Schizosaccharomyces pombe: one gene and its partners. Changing the gene in region 1 together with any one later gene gives a genetic interaction. Each region holds a gene or a part of one and is shown on either strand. Other genes may lie near its edges.

Region 1 (3,732 bases):
AAAATAAATGGTCCGACATTGACACTGTCTTAGCATCTGGTTCTATTGCCTCTATATCTCCTTCAGTAATTGCGATTGCCAAGCAGGACATTGTTTTAACCTATTTGTATCCAAGATTGGATGTTGAGGTTTCTAGACATTTAAACCATTTGCTAAAATCTCCATTTTGCGTCCACCCCGGAACTAGTCGTGTTTGTGTTCCCATAGATATAGAGAGGATGGATTCTTTTAATCCTTTGAAAGTACCCACTGTGAATGATCTTTTGCAAGAGTTGGATAAAAATTCCCAAAATGATAACGGCCATGGTCCAACAATGGAAACTAATACAACAGAAAACCAAAAAGATAATGCTAGGGGACAATCAAACAAGGGGCATGGCTTTTCAACTTCTCTCAATCCTTATACGCTGTACTTTAAATCGTTCAGTAGCCAGCTTTTTAAAGAAACAGTAGGAAATAAAAGAAAACATGAGAATTTGGAATTTTAAAATCGTATTTCAACAATCGATTCAAGCTTTAACTAAAAATTTGGGCATACATTTACTCATGAAAGGATGGAAGCTCTGACTTCTATTTACGTGGAGCATATTGTTTTCCGTTAAATCGACAGTAATAATATATTTTTTAATACCTCTTTATTTATCCTTTTTTGCTAAATACATTATAATAATAAAAACCAAAACAAATCAAAAGCATAACTAGTATGATTTTAAACTAGCGATTTAATTTTCTTTTTCCAATTCACTATCAGATTGATTTGACTGAGACCTAGTATCCTCAGAAACATCAAACGATTCGTCGCTTTTAAGCAAAATTCCCTTTCTTTTTGGAATGACCTCCATGAATGCCTTTTCCCAATCTCTGTACTCTAACCAAAGAGATAATATTTCAAAGACCTGATTAACCGTAAGTATTTTCCTATCCGTAATTTTAATGTATTCATCAATTGGAAGCTTTGCAGTTTTGATCCCTTGCTCAGACGCTTTATTTTGACATAAATTTTTGTACCGATTCTTGTCGACAATCGCACCAATAATATAAATCTTGTCTTCATCGAGTTCGGTGATGGTGTTATCTGAATCAGCAGAAAGATATACTAATTTTTCTTTTTGGGATTCAAATTCCTCTAAATAAGACTTAGTAGTTGGGTTGTATCGTTTCCAATTATTTTGTTGCCCCTTTAGCACAAAATCTTGTCTGGTTTTCAAACGTCCACCAAAGTTGGTAGCAAAAAGTTCTACAGGATGTAAAGCTGTACGATTTGCAGAATGACATCTAGTAACCTGTTGACATAAAGAGTTGATTTCTTTATCGTTCATCAGATCATCAAATGCACAATCCAAAACAATTCGGATACTACTAGGAACGACCTTTCCTAGTCTGATCCTCTTCTTTTGACTTTTAACTACTTCGCCAGCTTCAATTTTTCGCTTTCTTTCCTCTTTTCGTAATCGCTTTTTTTCCCGGCGCATCTCTGCTCGCTTTTCACGACCTGCATCCCACTCTTGCTGTCTTTTTAATCTTTTTAATGCAGATTTGCTAAGAACGGGTTGCTCTTGAGTTTCATTTTTAGAAACGTCAGCTTCAGAAGTATTTGTGTCATCTTTACCAATATCTAAAGCGTCTTTGTTTTCCATAATTTCCCAACTTTATTGCAGTCAAAATATAGCCTAAATTTATCTAGTTATATCGTTATTTTGAACCTAGCCAGGCTGTTCATCTAATGGAAAAAGTAAGAGTGTTGTGAAGTATAAAAAGTTGGTAACTACGCCAATCTCGCAATTATTAACTTTGGGTAATAAAGGGATTCAGGAAGTCGAAAATAAAAAAATTTTGCAAAATTGTATTATTTACAAACTTCGACAAAACAAGCTTTGAAAAATGGCAACAAACGATCAAAAAATCGATAACAAATCGACGGTATCAAATATGCTTGAAAATCCTATGTTTCAGACATTTTCAAAAAAAGAAACAGAAAAGCCATCACTATCTGAATATATGGAACAACTTACTTCAGAGTTTGGAGAAGAGCTAGACAATTTAAGGCAAAAGGAAATTTTTGATCATAACAAACTACAATTGCTTATTGAAAGTTTGCGTGCTGGTCACAAAATTTATGAATAATGGTTTATATAACTTAGCAAAAAACAGACCTGTATTATTCTATTAAAAAAGATAAGCTTGCGGTGCTAATCTTGATCCAACTTATCGTCTTCGTTCAAAAAACCATCTTCGGATGCTGTATAAAACTCGTTATCAGAGATTTCGACAAAAGTAAATGTTTTTTCTATTTCCTCAAAACTTCTCGTATAGAAGTCAGAGGAAGAAACTTTGTTCGAATATGGGGATTCGCTAGGAGCATCTTCGGGTTGTTTATTCGATTCCGCGTTTTTCTGGGCTTCTTTTGCGTGCTTTTTTATTTCTTGGTTCATTTTCCTTAAATTTTTTTTATGTTTTTTGCTGTTTTCATGGTTCTCCAATTGATTTTGTGATCGAAAGTTCTTGTTACAAACCATACACATTATTGGATTTGAATTCACAATTTCTTTGCTCAAAGATTCATCATCGCTGGATGTTTCTTCCTGATCGATTATTGTCCAAGACGCAATTGATTGGTTTTTAAAAGTTTCCTGGTACTGACGCCGATCACGTTCACTTTGCTTTCGCGATGCTTCTTGTAGGGAGTTGTATCTTTCTCCATCGCTTAGTTTCACAACGTTTTTTCTCCGTGGATCAAGATCACATGCTTTTCCTATTAAATCTCTGACAAGTTCGTTATATCGCTGAATGCAGTATTGTATCTGCCTTTGATTTTGTCTCTTCATTAATCGCCGTGTAGCTGCATCACTTTCCTCTTCTTCATTATATAGAGCTTCCCATTCAAAAGATTTTTTCGTTGAAAATCTTAGCCATTTTTGATAAATAGGTTTGGCATACGTCCAAAGCCAAGTTGTGTCCCCTAAAGTTGGAAGGTCGTCTGTGGAACCCGCTATTTTTTCGTCTTGTCGCAGTCTTTCAACGAACGCTGAGGTGCTTTCAAAAGGGATTTTCTCAATTGTTTGTAGATGCTGCAAAACGTCTTCAATTTGTACAGAATATTGGTTTCTTAGATAGTCTTTTTCATGCCATTTTCGTTTATCATCATTAGAGAGAATATTGTATGCAGCGTTTATTTGGGAAAATATTTCGTTATAGTCTTCAATGCCCGGATTTCTATCGGGATGATATTGCAAAGCTAATTTTCTGTTATGATTAGTAAAGATACACAAAGGCGATCAATTCTTCACAACTTAAACGATTATGTTTTAATCACAGATCGAAAAGCTGTAAATTTATATTCTATGTTGATTGATTAAGTTGAAAACAAGTTTTCATACCGGTAATTTGCTTTAATCTCTTGCAAGTCAGAGTCATGATTCACTTGCAAGATTTCATAGCAATCCATATCCTTAAAAGGGTTATTCATGATTGGTGATAAATAATTTGCATAAAATCATAAGTTAACCAGTAAAAGACTTATATAAAGTAGCTTCAAAGACAAAATTCCAAGGCCGAGGAGTGGAATGAATTATCAACCGCAATTGAGATTGCTTGTGATAAACTAACAATTCAATTCTACAATTGAAATACAAAAAAAGCAAAAAAATTGAGAGTTGCCCGTTCAATCGCCAAAATACAATACCTTCAGTACGTTCTATGTAAAATGGTGATCTTTCTCACAAACCGGCGACA
Region 2 (4,178 bases), 2.6 Mb from region 1:
GTACTGCAAATTAGTTGATATAGAAGTTTCATCAACAGACGATCTACTCAGTAACCATTCTACCAATGTTGTGTTTTCAACTATTATTGAACAAATGCTATTGTCCACAGATAATAAATTCTCCATAAGAGAGAGCACACAATATACTCCATGTCGGTCTTCCTCATTAGATTCGTCAAACCTTTTGATTGTATTTGAAAGCAAAGGAAGCAAACCAGAATCTATAAGGGAAGTAAATAAGGAGTTTAATGCGTCTGGGTCAACATCCTCGTCAGTCAGTTCTATCAATAGCTCCAATACCGTAATAGTAATATCCGCATTTTCATGGTTCATTAATTCTAAAAACGTGGAAACACAATCTAATTTAAGGAAAATGGGTATGAGGATAGGATACTCTGAAAGCACATTGAAGCTTCGAATTTCCAGATCAAGATCTGCCTCTGATTCTATAAACCTTTGAGGAGAAGTAGAATACTTGATGCGTAACTCCTGATTATTATTAATTGTTTTTTCAAGTCGTACTACCATGCGCTTCAATTCAGTAGGAGTCAATGAAGCAGGTTCTTCCTGGGCTTCCTGTTCGTCTAAAAAGTCTAAAACGGTTTTTTCACTCTTTTTAAGCCCACTTCCAAAAAATCTACCTCCTTCCTCGTCAAATTCTTCATTCTCCTCATCGCTATTCTCTTCAGCGAGTCTTCTGCGACTACTAGCTGGCTCCAAAGAGTCTGCTTCCTCAGGGTTCCTTTTCTTATTTGTTTCCTCGGTATTTTTAAAAATTGAATCTACATCCATTTAGAATAATGTATTTTTTATGCGCCAGTTTCCTTTTCAAATTGAATATATGAAAACCGTCTGATACAAAATAAATAATTTTGACAAACTTATATTTTATAGCCGCATCAAGTAAAATAAAAGCCTTATGAAAAGACTATCGTGCAATTCAATTATAACGCCTGACTCGTTCCTAAAATTCCTCTCGTTTACCAGTTCAAGTAAAAGCTAGGTAAGATGTAGGCATGTACAAAGTGTATCAAAAGTGAAAACCAGAATCTAAGCTTGGAAAAAAATAATAACAGCAAGTAAATTCCCCTCTGTTTTATAAATATTATACAACTCTTATATCCAAGAAAGGAGAGATTGGAAGAAGGATAAAAAGTGTTTATTTAAGAGAAGAGAAGCTAAATAAAGTGCATGCAGTTAACTCGAAATTTTTTAGGTTGATTAAATAAGGAAGAAATTAGATCCATCTTGTATTACCTTTCTTTTAATTGTAGCAATGACTTTTCAAAAGAGGGTGTAAAAATGACATCCTAACTGTATATATGATAAAATTACAATTATGGATTTTCTAAAGCAATTTAAATTTAGCTATTATCACTAAAACAGTTCGGCAATTTGCAATATTTGTCTAATAAATGAACCATTTGTTTCATAAACAATCAAATTCATTAAGCTACAAATCCTTAATTGTATCTTTAGTTTTGAGTCAATCAACTTACTGGGATCCTATAGCTTTTTTGAATATCATTTGGTAAATTCAAATATGGCTCTTAAAACTTGTATTTAATTTGATAAAATTTCTGTGTCGAGAGATAAATAAATAAAGACAGTTAGAAGTAGATGCTATTCAATTAATAAATAAAATACTCGTCTATTAAGCTTTACGGCTTTCCAAAAATTTATATATCAGAATAAAATATTTCACAATTTTTTTTTTTTTAAAAAAGAAAAAGCAATCTCAATTTTCATTTCCTTTAGTAATCTGCATACCTTTTAAAATTGTGCACCTTTTCGAATTTTACTAAATAACTTCTAACTTGAACTGTCTTTCTTATTCTGCGTTTGGTCTTGTAATCAAGTGTCAAGTCCTTTAATATCAGAAGGAAAAATTATCAATTTATAAGATTAGCATTTACGGGTGTTCAAGTTGTAGCATATAACCAATTTTTTATTGTTGGACGTAAATTCGCATGTTTCAAGCAGAAACAGTATGCTTAAAGCAGATTCAGTCAACATTACGATGCATTGATTTTTCAAAGGAATGTACTATCGAAATCACAAGTCGTGGACTACGGTTTGCAGTGGAGGAATCGCAGTCTTTGCAGGGTAAGACAAGTCGAGTCTCACATCTATGATCGTTAAAAAATTTGAAGCTACTTAATAAAGTTTCATATATTAATGCGATTCTTGAAATGCATTCACTTTTTCTTTATTGTTCACTCACACATTAAGCTCACGCCTTTCTTGATAAGTCGTTGTTTCAAACGTTTAATTTTCAGGGTGATTCAGATGGGGATACATATATGTTCCAGACGATGATTTCACCTCTTTTACAATCATTATCAATTTATACAGATGGAAAAGAACGGATTTCAACTAGTGCCTGGGATCAACCCACTGTAAACATAATGCACAAACGAGGCGTTATCTGCAAAGTACAGTATAATGGACCCGGCTGTCCATTTATATGGGAGTAAGGATTTTATCATTAACATTCTGTACTGACAAAAATAAAGAGTAGAGGAAATGGCTGGTTATGCTACGGCTTGTGAACTGTTGACTATGGAATGTGAGGACGACGTTGACATCAATAGACTTGCAAGCACATTGTGCACGAAGATCATTATGAAAAGTAACTGGCTATATGATGCCTTGGTGGAATTAGACAATAACATGGGCGAAAATTTAATTATTCATACATCATCCCAAAAATCAACCTTCTTATTGAGATGTGTAGGGGCATTATCCACTACGGAAATAGAATATCCAAACGAGAAAAGTGTTTTAGAGTCTTTTGAAACTGATTCTGAAAACACTTATTCCTACCGCTTCTCATTAATAAGACATGCGCTGAAAGCATTACAAGTGGGTTCTAAAGTAAACCTACGTATTGATGAAAATGGAACTTTGAGCATTCAAATCATGCTTGTCGGTCAAGAAGGGCTTTGTACGTTTGTAGACTTTTGTATTGTTCCTTTGGACCTTGTAAGTGAAGATGAGGAGGAGGATGAAGAAGAAGAACCAGCAGAATCTAATCAGTCGGACAATAACGTTTTACGAAACGATCCGAATTATCGAGGAGATGCGGAGACCGAGGATGAGGATAGCTAAATGATAATTTTAGCACTCAGCACTTTAGTGTTTCCGATAACTTCAAAAAAAGAAAAAGGTACAATTGATACTGAACAACTTATGATAATACACTTATTCAACGAATCATGATTTATTTCCCTGCTTTTTGTTTGGTCTTATTTAGGTAGCTTAAAGTCACACCGTTTCCTCACTTTTTCTATGCTTATTTAACACACGTATAAACAAGACGCTTTCCACTAGGCTGTCTAGCAAAGCATGTAGCCAACAAAATTCCCATGTATCATACACACGATTATACATTATGGTTAGATCTACGAAGCATTCAAAAATTCTTCAAACATTATTGATTTTTAAAAAATAGAAAATGCAAAGTGACACTCATAAAACATTTGTTTACTCAAAATGGAGTCTCATCTCCTCTTGCATTCCATTTTTGGACGTTGTTGAGTCTCTGATCACAAATTCTCGCACTTTCCAACTTTATCTTGATAATTCTCATATCCTCACCCTCCACGTATTGTTTCGTATTACCCTTGTCATTAGTGTTTAAATGCTTTTCTCTAAAGAATTCCTCTTCTTTGCTATTCTTTGGAAGAACGGTAGCAAGGCCATTCAAGGTCACTGATGTATTCGAGAACTGAGCCTGATTCATTTTATAAAGTAAGGTGTACAATGAGGAGGCATCAGGATCTGTTTCTTGACGATTAGTGGTCCAGTCATGAACTAGTAATGATACTCGAGGATTCTAGTCATCATGTTAGAAAAAAGAAAATACCAATCAGGATCAAGGATAAGTTAAACTTTTAAATATGATACATACCGAACTGATGTTAAAATATTTTTTACTGTTTTCTCCTGTTGACAAAATAATGCAATCCTCCACTTCGTAAGGGGCAGCGCTTCCTGCAGGTAAATAGGTAAATGTCATCAAAGAAGAGTGAGGCTGATCATGAAAGCAAGTAGCTAGTTGAATATATTTGGATGAGGACAAGCATCTCTTGATTTGGCTGGGGAACTCATGAGATGAATCGACTTTTGAGGCCATATTTACTTTCAGGTTATTGTGGTGCGACAAAGATTATAAT
Region 3 (4,369 bases), 2.4 Mb from region 1:
ATTAGTTTGCTCATTGATCACATAGCATGTATTTTACCAGCTATTTTCAACGTACTAGTCTACTTGATCTGTTATTGATCAAATGTAAGTGAATTGCTGCTTTTATTGTTATTATAATCAATAAAGTAAGCAAATTTACACTGGGGCACAATCAAACATTGGTATGCAAAGAACATTAATTCGATATACCAATACGATGTCAAAAAAATTGAAGGATCTCCCTGTCAGCTCAACGTTCACATCAAATCTTCCGCCTGATCCACTGGTACCGACCGTACAGGCAATGAAAAAGGCTGATGACAGAATCTTACATGTTCCTCGATTTGTGGAAGGCGGCGGCTTATTTACTTATTTGACTCCATCACTAAAAGCCAATTCTCAATTATTAGCTTATAGCCCTTCGTCCGTGAAGTCATTAGGACTCGAAGAATCTGAAACTCAAACTGAAGCTTTTCAACAGCTTGTTGTCGGTTCTAACGTTGATGTCAATAAGTGTTGTCCTTGGGCGCAATGTTATGGAGGATACCAATTTGGGGATTGGGCAGGTCAGTTGGGTGATGGCCGCGTAGTATCCTTATGCGAACTTACCAACCCGGAAACTGGAAAACGCTTTGAGATTCAAGTCAAAGGCGCAGGAAGAACACCATACTCTCGATTTGCAGATGGAAAGGCTGTTTTAAGATCTAGCATTCGAGAATATTTATGTTGTGAAGCTTTATATGCTCTAGGCATTCCAACAACACAGGCTCTGGCAATTTCCAATCTTGAAGGTGTTGTAGCACAACGTGAGACTGTAGAGCCTTGCGCCGTTGTTTGCCGTATGGCCCCTTCTTGGATCAGAATTGGGACTTTCGATCTCCAGGGGATTAATAATCAAATTGAGTCTTTACGGAAATTAGCCGACTATTGTCTAAATTTCGTTTTAAAAGATGGATTTCATGGTGGAGATACTGGAAATCGCTACGAAAAACTTCTTCGAGATGTTGCATATCGAAATGCTAAAACTGTAGCCAAATGGCAAGCATATGGATTTATGAATGGTGTTTTGAATACTGATAATACCAGTATACTGGGACTATCAATTGATTATGGACCTTTTGGATTTTTAGATGTTTACAACCCATCTTTTACACCTAATCATGACGATGTATTTTTGCGATATTCATATCGCAACCAACCTGATATTATTATTTGGAATTTATCAAAATTAGCATCTGCTTTGGTTGAGTTAATTGGAGCTTGCGACAAAGTTGATGACTTGCAATATATGGAACAACTTCATAACTCTACTGATTTGTTAAAAAAGGCGTTTGCTTATACTTCTGAAGTTTTTGAAAAGATAGTAGAAGAGTATAAAAATATTGTCCAGAATGATTTCTATGATCTTATGTTCAAACGAGTGGGTCTTCCCTCTGACTCATCTAACAAAATTCTGATAACTGATTTGTTACAAATTTTGGAGGATTATGAATTGGATATGCCAAATTGTTTTTCCTTTCTTTCTAGAAACTCTCCCTCTTCAATGGAGAATGAAGAATATGCTGCAAAATTGATGCAAGCATGTATTTGTCTAAACCCGAATAATGAAAGAGTTAGAAATGAATCTGTCAAAGCTTTCACTAATTGGGTTGGTCGATATAGTGAAGCAACGAAAACTCAGGAAGATTCATCCCGATTAGCGAGCATGAAAAAAGTCAACCCACATTTTACTCTTAGAAATTGGGTTCTTGAAGAGGTGATTAAAGAAGCATACATCGGGAAATTTGAGCTTTTTAAAAAAGTGTGTAAAATGGCTGCCTGTCCGTTCGAAGATACTTGGGGGTTTTCCAAGGAAGAAGAGGATTATTTATGCTATAACACTACTCCCTCCAAAAGCCAAATTCAATGTTCCTGCTCTAGCTAGAACCCTTCTTACTTGCCATTTATTTTTTTAATGTAATTTAAAATTTAGGAATAGCTAATCGTATGAAATAAATGATACAACGAATAGGCTCTTGAGTATAATTTTTTTTAGACTCTAAGACTTTTGTAAATCTTTTTAAATTTTATTCATTAATTTTATTCCACTTGCCATTAAAATTTGCATTTGCTTAATAAAGATTGCGATGCAGTTGCTAATGCCCAGTTTGCTATTTCTTAGCTGGCTTTTACGCGTTCGTAGTTTTTTCGACCGAAAATTTATTATTGGTCGACTTTAACCTGCTAAACGCTTGAATAAACAAAATGCCAAAAAATCTCAATCTCATTAGTTAAATCAAAGACTGAAAATGAGATTTAAAACAAGGATTAGCAACTTGTACACGTTGACGCGTAAGTTGGAAAAGATCAGCAGAAAGTTCGTTTACTAATCAAATTTAGGTCTTGTTCAGGCGCTAGATAAAATTGGAAGATTTTGCTGGCTTCGTCTGATGCCTGAAACTGTAAATTTTGTGATAGTGCCAGATTTTAGGATGACTCAAGTTTGGTCGTAAGTGAAGATATTAAGCATTTAACGGTGAAAAAAATCACATTGTGAAACTAATAAAGAAACAGAGTTTTAGAAGTCGTATGATTAACTATCTTTTTCTATTTGATTGCCCTAACTAACGTAAACGGAAAGGAAACAATATTTGAGGACTATGTCGTCCAAAGCAATGCAGACAACGTGATAAATCTAGAAGTTCCTATAGATAATTTCTATAAAGCCTTACGATCAGCGGCCAACGCTAGTGATTCTACTGTTCGTCTATCCAAGAAGAATAACCAGCCATTACTTTCGTTGTCTACCACTTGGAGTGGAAGGGCGTTTGGTTCGAATATTGTGACTCATAATATACCTGTTCGAGTACTATCACAATCATACGTGTCAGTTATTAAGGAACCAACTGCTCCTGAACCAGACTGTCATATATTCCTTCCACAACTGAATTTTCTAAGACACGTCGTGGACAAATACAAGAGTCTTTCAGACCGTATTATAATGTCAGCCAACATGTCAGGCGAATTGCAGTTATCGGTAAACATACCTTCAGCTAGAGTAAGCACAAAATGGAAAGGATTAGAGAATCCAGAGTTAGATCCTAGTCAAGTCGAAGACATCAGTCGACATCCCTCTCAAACAAGGGCACCCGAAGAATTTGTTCACATGAGACTAGACAGCAAGGACTTAGTCAACATGTTAAAAATATCCAGTGTTGCAAAGCGTGTAATAGCGTGTATGTACTATGAGAGAATCCTTTTTATGACCACGAACTAACCTTTTTACATTACAGGTTTCTGTGAAGGACATGCGCTAGTACTTTATGTTTATATAACAGATCCAGAAGATGAACATACGGCTGTTTTAACATACTACATTAGTACCTATGTGGACTAAGGTTACTTCAATTTGTTTATGATTTGATTTAATTAACGAATAATTGTTATGAGTGACTAGCCACATTTTTAATGTACATTAAAATGAAAAGAGATTAATCAACATCTACCATGCTTATACTTATTTTCTCTCTCTTCCTTTATCGATCTTACCGTTCTTTTTTATTTATTTTATACAGTTGTTGTAATCTCGGCAACTCAGTGTTTTACTATTCCGTTGATATCTCTTAAAAGGATAACACCAAAAAGAAATATAATGTTCAAGTCACAGAAAATCTGTTGATAAAATCCATATGTTTTCACGTTTTCAATGAGAGATACATACGATTAAACACAAACGTATGTTTTCAAGCAATTAACTTGAATATGAATAAACCTTGGTTCATCTTTCTTTAATCTTTTAGACAAGCAACTGTTCAGAAATCTATAAAGTCTCAATTGAACATTTAAGTGCTCAATGGGAAATATATACTTAATAAAAATTGAATATTTTAATCGTTTTTTTGAGAAGATATATGCCATTGACTGTAGCTTCTATTAATTTCCGCCTATTCTTTCTTGTACTTTGGAGGCATCGCTATACATTTTACGTAGAAGTGATGAAAATGGCGAGTTCCTCTTTAAAAGTGCGAAAATTTCAGGCTGTCTGTCATCGGAATTGACTATGTTCGATAGTTATTCCTCCTCCGATGCAGTCGGCTACACATGTAAACTGTACCAACATTCAGTACGAAAGGGGCTGAACGTTGTTACCTAGAAAAGTTGGTATCGCAATAGAGGTAACGATAGTGAAAATCCCACAATAACTTAAATATGGAGAGGTATCCGGGGAAATCCGCTACATAAACAACACATATACAGACATATAAATTGACTTAAACGTACCTTCTTTCTATAATAGTTTTACCGTTCCTTAATTGCAAATTCTTTCTTGTTTTCATAGATAGCATTGTTACTATTATTGTTATATATTCAATATAGACTGATAATTAGGATTGTACATTTCGTTTCATTT

Evidence for each region.
Region 2: mutations in trm10 (region 1) and rad1 together harm fitness more than expected from each alone (negative genetic interaction), as found in Schizosaccharomyces pombe (2 studies listed by BioGRID).
Region 3: mutations in trm10 (region 1) and hus1 together harm fitness more than expected from each alone (negative genetic interaction), as found in Schizosaccharomyces pombe (2 studies listed by BioGRID).

Annotation. Positions count from the first base shown.
Region 1 is NC_003424.3:2,425,925-2,429,656, reverse strand, and holds trm10 (tRNA m(1)G methyltransferase Trm10), read right to left. Parts: upstream 1,723-3,732; 5' UTR 1,638-1,722; coding exon 723-1,637; 3' UTR 567-722; downstream 1-566. Other genes in the region: DNA primase catalytic subunit Spp1, read left to right, coding at 1-488; ribosome assembly protein Rsa3, read left to right, coding at 1,882-2,124; epr1 (ATPase co-chaperone protein), read right to left, coding at 2,190-3,243, 3,378-3,466. UniProt on the Schizosaccharomyces pombe protein: S-adenosyl-L-methionine-dependent guanine N(1)-methyltransferase that catalyzes the formation of N(1)-methylguanine at position 9 (m1G9) in cytoplasmic tRNA.
Region 2 is NC_003424.3:4,976,649-4,980,826, forward strand, and holds rad1 (checkpoint clamp complex protein Rad1), read left to right. Parts: upstream 1-1,929; 5' UTR 1,930-1,970; coding exon 1,971-2,106; exon of another isoform or gene 2,107-2,232; coding exon 2,233-2,473; exon of another isoform or gene 2,474-2,516; coding exon 2,517-3,111; 3' UTR 3,112-3,490; downstream 3,491-4,178. Other genes in the region: SPOM_SPAC1952.06C (uncharacterized protein), read right to left, coding at 1-792; SPOM_SPAC1952.08C (pyridoxamine 5'-phosphate oxidase), read right to left, coding at 3,491-3,838, 3,914-4,138. UniProt on the Schizosaccharomyces pombe protein: Recombinational reparation of DNA damages induced by UV and gamma radiation.
Region 3 is NC_003424.3:4,820,477-4,824,845, reverse strand, and holds hus1 (checkpoint clamp complex protein Hus1), read left to right. Parts: upstream 1-2,142; 5' UTR 2,143-2,267; coding exon 2,268-2,310; exon of another isoform or gene 2,311-2,358; coding exon 2,359-2,467; exon of another isoform or gene 2,468-2,532; coding exon 2,533-2,545; exon of another isoform or gene 2,546-2,599; coding exon 2,600-3,194; exon of another isoform or gene 3,195-3,251; coding exon 3,252-3,355; 3' UTR 3,356-3,859; downstream 3,860-4,369. Other genes in the region: fmp40 (adenylyltransferase), read left to right, coding at 197-1,903. UniProt on the Schizosaccharomyces pombe protein: Essential in controlling the S-M checkpoint that couples mitosis to the completion of DNA replication. It is also required for the response to DNA damage.